2 linked regions of the Tribolium castaneum genome follow. The protein of the gene in region 1 purifies or fractionates together with the protein of each later gene. This does not show direct contact. Links are inferred from orthologs where the notes say so. Each region holds a gene or a part of one and is shown in the gene's direction. Other genes may lie near its edges.

Evidence for each region.
Region 2: the proteins of Cp190 (region 1) and Chro purify together in Drosophila melanogaster (affinity purification with western blotting; 3 studies listed by BioGRID, with this or other methods). This does not show direct contact. The link is inferred for Tribolium castaneum from reciprocal best matches to the Drosophila melanogaster genes Cp190 and Chro.

What each region holds. Positions count from the first base shown.
Region 1 is NC_087400.1:882,785-887,303, forward strand, and holds the start of Cp190 (centrosome-associated zinc finger protein Cp190), read left to right. Parts: upstream 1-1,469; 5' UTR 1,470-1,619; intron 1,620-1,759; 5' UTR 1,760-1,777; coding exon 1,778-2,237; intron 2,238-4,519. Other genes in the region: uncharacterized protein LOC100141873, read left to right, coding at 507-593. UniProt on the Drosophila melanogaster protein: Plays a central role in chromatin domain organization and boundary function through recruitment by a range of insulator DNA-binding proteins, including ZIPIC, pita, CTCF, su(Hw), cliff and others.
Region 2 is NC_087395.1:22,938,572-22,941,433, forward strand, and holds part of Chro (titin), read left to right. Parts: coding exon 1-624; intron 625-2,862.

The sequences.
Region 1 (4,519 bases):
AAAAAACTATCAGGAATTTGGCGCTTTTCTTGATTCCAATCGATTCCCCGGATCATTTTGCATCGGTGTGAATCAAAATAGTTCCACTTTTTAGAATAGTTTAGCCGTAAATGAGAAAATAAAAAAAAATTTAAAAAAAGTTAACACCCCCCCTTAGAAATCGGTCAATTTTTAAAGTGTCTCAAAATCAAATAAAACCGATTATATCTTCTTCTATTCTAGTTTCGTCAAAAAATTCAAATGCCTTCTTGGTGTTGCAATTTTTATGATATTGAGTAATTAAAGTATCGATATTTGTATGTTTTTTTTTATTCTAAAGTTGTAAACATGGTCAAAAAAATTGAAATAAGGGTGAGGTGAACAATGATTATTAGAAAATGAAGAGAATAAAGGAATTATTGTTTCGTAAATAAGAAAATACAAAATAAATTTTTTTTTCATTCACTTTCATTCACTTTTTCAAATGTTTGAAAAACATCAAATAATAATGTTTTTTTTTGTTTCAGGTGAGACAGTCCCTGGAAGCGCTATCGACCCTGTTGATCCCCAACAACAGGCAGAAAGAAGCGAGTTCCAGAGACAGCAGCAGTTAGCCACGTTAATAACAGTGCTAGGAATGTGATCAGTATTCAATCTTTTAAATTTAGATTTAGCAATATTTCACTTAAATATTGTTGCCACCATCCCAGTATCGACACTAGGCCGCGCTGTTTCATCATATTTGCCAAATCTATTATTGCCATAAGGGTAATGGAACTACTCCTATGTATAGTCCGCACGTTTATACTATAAGCTCAATTTGTCACGAGGGGTTTTTGGTGTAATGGACCGATGATTGTAAACTGGGACTTGTTTTTAATAGTTAATTAATTTATCGCCATCTAGTACAAACTTATTTTATAATTCCACTTTAGTTCAACGCGCCCAACACTGTCTAGCAATAATATCAAAGGATTTTTTAAAAAAAAAGATTGGGAACTAATGCTGTGAATTGGTACTGAGCGATTTTCGTAATTTTAGAAACTTCGTAATCCTGATTAGGCAGAAACTTGTTGAAACGTTCATCCTTTATTTCAATGTACAGTTTAATAGGAACGATTTACACTGTTTTTAATTTTACATGTACCTACGATGTTTATATGTTAGGTGTTAATTTATTGCGGTTAGAGTTGTGTTTTGTCAATTGTTTTGTAACATGTTAACATAGAAGAAACCTGTGATATCTTATTTGTTTTGCTTTTATCAATAAATAGTTACAATTTAATACAAGCGCTTTTTTTTGAATCGCCGAGCACCATCTCTCGGCCGCCACCTCGCACCAATCATTGATCGCCTCAGCCGCCAAAACAGATCACACCAAACGGCACAAATAACTAAACCACACCTTAATTGTTACAACAATTGCACTAACTACGAGTTAAACTAATCGTGACGTGGTAATTAACCGCTAAATTGCGGAATTAGCGCCGGTTGAGTGTTAATCAGTGGTTAGATTCAAACGTCCCGCGTGTCACCAACCAACGGCCGCGCCACCTACGAATACAAAGAAGTAGTAGCGTATCGCCAATATGTTTATGCGTCTGTAGAGATGGAGCTAATATTTTCAATATAAGGAAAAGGTCAGTAAATTTGAATTAGAAACATTGCGAGTACCGCGCCCCCAGCCGCCCCCAGGCCCCCTGCCGCCGCCCCAGCCCCCGGAATGCGCCGCTGGCCGAGCTAGCCCAGAGCTGTACTTGTTTTTTCTGCTTGCTTCCAGGGCCGGCTCGGGACTAGTATGAGGTTATATCCGAAGATGGGGGAGAACACCAAGCAAGTCCGGGTGGACAATTGGGGCATTTTTTTCCTGCAGCGGCTGCAAATGTTCTTCAGCAAGACGGACTACTGCGACATGACTCTACAGTTCGAGGGGAACGTGCAGCTGAAAGTGCACCGGCTTGTTATGAACGCCTGCACGGAATACTTCCAGTTTCTGGAGCAGACTTGTGCCCTTGAGGAGAACGTTATCATGATGCCTTCGGATCTGCAAGCCGATGTGATTGTGCCCATTGTTAATTTTATGTACACGGGGATGTTGGAGTTCCACTTGTCGATCTTCGATAGGTTGTATAAAACGGCACAGCTTATGAATATCACCATTTTGACCAAGTTGTTGGATGCACAGAAGCATCCGGTGGCCTCGGCGGTCAAGAGTCTCAAGAAGAAGGCGCCGGACAGCCCCCTGTTCAATGCACAAGGTAAGTCATCTGTTCCAGTTCTTTTGTTTGTTTGACCCATGTTTTGAATTTCCACATTCGTGTATTTCTATGTTTGTATAAGACAATGATTTTAGAATTAAGTTGGTGGCACTGAATTATACACAAAATGAAGACTTGATTATTACAGTATTCATTGTGATCTATGATGATTGTTCTTATAAGTGGAAACGGGATAAACAAGTTATTTATTTATTTTTATTTTTTTAGTTGATAGTTTAAGTTCAAACTGTTTAGAAAATCCTTGCATTGTGCTTTTAAAAACATATTGAAGCAAAACTGAAACCACAAAACCACAGAAAGAAACGCAGGCGCGAAAATTTGAATTTGAAGTTAATTCTTTAAATATCTCGGGAACTAAGCATTGGTCACAATTTTGTCCTATGAGAGAAAAGATGCGTCTTGATGTAAGCTAAACGACGGTCTGGTTGAAACTGTAATTTTCAATAGTCATTTTGCTATCTCATTAAGGAGCCATAAAAGACCTACTCATTTTAGTGTTTTTGTAATGTCCAGTTCAGGCGGTGAAGTTTGAGGGGTCAGTCGATGGGGTTTGCATAAGTTTGAAAAACCCACCCTTAATTTTTTTTCCATTTTTTGTAATTATTTTTTCTAGTTTGGGGGACTGTTTGCAGTGGAGAATAAGTTGGTAGTAGTTTAAAAATTTTCGGTCAATTAGGAATAGAGATATGGGCTTTATTTTTCGAAGGGTTGTTTTTTATGAAAGTGGCTTAATGTGATTTAACTCTCCGTATTTTGTTCTATTTTGTCTGTTGTTGCTGTAATTGTACGACCATGTTGAAAGTCGTCAGAAACGTAAAAAAAACGGAATTTCCGCCCCACCAAAAACTAAGGGTGAGTTTATTTTTGTGTTTGTATGCTGGCTGTGAGGGTCTTATTACGTAATCGTAAAAGTGGGACTTAAAAAAAAAAAAAAAAAAAGGAGAAAGGGGGTGAATTGCATAACATACAGTCTATTCAATATTTATGGATTTCCATATGTCTTAACAACCCACAAAAGTTGTTTTTAGTCCACAAAAAGTCCATATGTTCGATTTTTAGAAGTTTGATTTTTCAATTTTCGTCGCAATTTTTGTCGATTTTGGGTACCCGGAACTTTTGTCAAGCAATAGCTCCGGAACTATCAGAGATAACCCCATGAAGTGTATTATCGTTGGAAAGCTCTTTAAACTATCTATCTTTTTCAAAAAAAATTATTGTTCTCCGACTAATAGTTTTCGAGCAAATTGGAGACAAATGCAAAAATTGGTAAAATTTTAAAAAATTCATAACTAAAAAACTATTGGGAATTTGGCAATTTTCTCGATGCCAATCGATTCCCCGGATCATTTTGCATAGGTATGGATCAAAATAGTTCCACTTTTTCGAATACTTTAGCCAGAAATGAGAAAATAAAAAAAAATAAAAAAAAGTTAACACCCCCCCCTTAAAATCGGTCAATTTTTAAAGTGTCTCTAAATCAAATAAAACCGATTCTATCTTATAGATTTTGATGTGCTCTTTCAGATCTAAAAAAGCGTTTTCTCCTAACTCTTTTAGTTTGGCCGTAATCGGCGTTTGAAAATTGAAAAATTTTTTGCGAGATATCGCCTTGAGTCCTATGCCATTTTGTAGAGTTTTTTATTCCGGTTGTCCTCCATTTTTCTGTTTCTCGATAACTCTAATAGTTTCGCCGTAATTGGCGGTTGAAAATTGAAAAAAAGTGAAAATGGAAACCTTTTTTTGCGTTTTTCTCGGAAACTGTAAGACTTAGAGCAACGAACAAAAAAACATCTGATAGCGCTTAATTTTATCTATTTTTTCGTCCAAACCCGGAGCCGCTCCGGGCAACGGTTCCGGCTACAGAGGCGATCAAAGTTTTTCACTAAAAAAATTCATAAAAAAAAAACTAAAAGTCGTAGAGCATTGCGGTTTGTTCGGTTGAATTCTACGGCTCATTTTACATAATATATCAATTTTTCACAAGAATTAAAAATTAAAAATTTTTTGCCTAAATTTAGGGTAGCCATTTGTCTTAGTGAAAAATTTTATTCATTAAAAAAATTCATAACTCGAAAACTAAAAGTCGTAGAGCAATGCGGTTTGTTCCATTGAATTCAGCGGCTCATTTTCTGTATTATACCAACTTTTCACGAGATTTAAAATTTTCAATTTTTTTGCTAAAATTTCCTGAGTAATACTTACTTACCTTCAAAGAGGTGAAAAAAAAATTTTTTTTAAACTCACTCCAGTAAATTTTTATG
Region 2 (2,862 bases), on another chromosome or scaffold:
CCAAAACCCAGCCACGGATCATCAACCAGTCCGTCACTAAGCCCCGCCCGGCCATGACCCCAGTGCAAGCCGCCCGGCCGGCAGCCATACGCCCCAAAACACCGCTCCCCAAACCCAAATTCAACATCGCCCCCTTGTCCCCAACGAAAAATGTCTATTCGCCGAAAAGCAACAACGTGGCGAAAAAAATCGGCAACACGACCATCTACAGGACGAAATCGCCAGCAGCCCCCCAACCGGTGGTGAAGAAAAGTCCGCCGAAAGTGGTAGCGAGTGCCCCCATCAGTATGCCGTCTTTGGACGAGGAACCGGTTGAAGGGCAACAGGAAGCAACAGTGGAGGGTGAAGTCCCGACCATGACGTTTGCGGCGACTGATCGCCCGATGTACATCACGGGAGATGATGGGACGGTTTATCAAGTGGCGGGGCAAAATGAAGAGGGGCAAACTATTCTTGTGACGCAAGATAGTGAGGGGCAACAGCAGTGTTTGTTGGTGACGGGGGAGACGGTCCAGGAGGCGGCGGAGCAGCAGAGTGAGGAAGCTACGACGCAGATGTTGATGGAGCAGGACCCGGAGGAGCCCCTTGTGGTGCAGTTTATGAGGGCTGAGCCTCCAAGTCCAGGTCAGTAACACTTCAGTGTGTACACTGAACGCCAAAACCAACCAATTTTATTTTTTTTTATAACTGTTCTAGCGCACTTTTTATATTGAATTATTCTCAGTTGGTAGACCAATATTTGAGGCACAAATAGCCAAAAAGGCGTTAAAAAATATCTGCTAGTTTCAGAATTACGAATTTTTTATTTTTTGACTTGGTCAATTTTTTTCTCGACTGTCGTAAGACAATTCATTAAATTCTTATAACTGTTCTAGTGCACTTTTTGTTTCGAATTATTCTCAGTTGGTAGACCAATGTTTGAGGTACAAATAGCCAAAAAGGCGTTAAAAAATATCTGCTAGTTTCAGAATTATGAATTTTTTATTTTCTGATGTTGCTAATTTTTTTCTCGACTGTCGAAAGACAATTCGTTAAATTCTTATAACTGTTCTAGTGCACTTTTTGTTTCGAATTATTCTCAGTTGGTAGACCAATATTTGAGGCACAAATAACCAAAAAGGCGTTAAAAAATATCTGCTAGTTTCAGAATTACGAATTTTTTATTTTTTGACTTGGTCAATTTTTTTCTCGACTGTCGTAAGACAATTCATTAAATTCTTATAACTGTTCTAGTGCACATTTTGTTTCGAATTATTCTGAGTTGGTAGACCAATATTTGAGGCACAAATACCCAAAAAGGCGTTAAAAAATATTTGGTAGTTTCAGAATTATGAATTTTTTATTTTCTGATGTTGCTAATTTTTTTCTCGACTGTCGAAAGACAATTCGTTAAATTCTTATAACTGTTCTAGTGCACTTTTTGTTTCGAATTATTCTCAGTTGGTAGACCAATATCTGAGGCACAAATAGCCAAAAAGGCGTTAGAAAATATCTGCTAGTTTCAGAATTACGAATTTTTTATTTTCTGATGTTGCTAATTTTTTTCTCGACTGTCGAAAGACAATTCATTAAATTCTTATAACTGTTCTAGTGCACATTTTGTTTCGAATTATTCTGAGTTGGTAGACCAATATTTGAGGCACAAATACCCAAAAAGGCGTTAAAAAATATTTGGTAGTTTCAGAATTATGAATTTTTTATTTTCTGATGTTGCTAATTTTTTTCTCGACTGTCGAAAGACAATTCGTTAAATTCTTATAACTGTTCTAGTGCACTTTTTGTTTCGAATTATTCTCAGTTGGTAGACCAATATTTGAGGCACAAATAACCAAAGAGGCGTTAAAAAATATCTGCTAGTTTCAGAATTACGATTTTTTTATTTTCTGATGGTGCTAATTTTTTTCTCGACTGTCGAAAGACAATTCATTAAATTCTTATAACTGTTCTAGTGCACATTTTGTTTCGAATTATTCTGAGTTGGTAGACCAATATTTGAGGCACAAATACCCAAAAAGGCGTTAAAAAATATTTGGTAGTTTCAGAATTATGAATTTTTTATTTTCTGATGTTGCTAATTTTTTTCTCGACTGTCGAAAGACAATTCGTTAAATTCTTATAACTGTTCTAGTGCACTTTTTGTTTCGAATTATTCTCAGTTGGTAGACCAATATCTGAGGCACAAATAGCCAAAAAGGCGTTAGAAAATATCTGCTAGTTTCAGAATTACGAATTTTTTATTTTCTGATGTTGCTAATTTTTTTCTCGACTGTCGAAAGACAATTCATTAAATTCTTATAACTGTTCTAGTGCACATTTTGTTTCGAATTATTCTGAGTTGGTAGACCAATATTTGAGGCACAAATACCCAAAAAGGCGTTAAAAAATATTTGGTAGTTTCAGAATTATGAATTTTTTATTTTCTGATGTTGCTAATTTTTTTCTCGACTGTCGAAAGACAATTCGTTAAATTCTTATAACTGTTCTAGTGCACTTTTTGTTTCGAATTATTCTCAGTTGGTAGACCAATATTTGAGGCACAAATAACCAAAGAGGCGTTAAAAAATATCTGCTAGTTTCAGAATTACGATTTTTTTATTTTCTGATGGTGCCAATTTTTTTCTCGACTGTCGAAAGACAATTCATTAAATTCTTATAACTGTTCTAGTGCACATTTTGTTTCGAATTATTCTGAGTTGGTAGACCAATATTTGAGGCACAAATACCCAAAAAGGCGTTAAAAAATATTTGGTAGTTTCAGAATTATGAATTTTTTATTTTCTGATGTTGCTAATTTTTTTCTCGACTGTCGTAAGACAATTCATTAAATTCTTATAACTGTTCTAGTGCACATTTTGTTTCGAA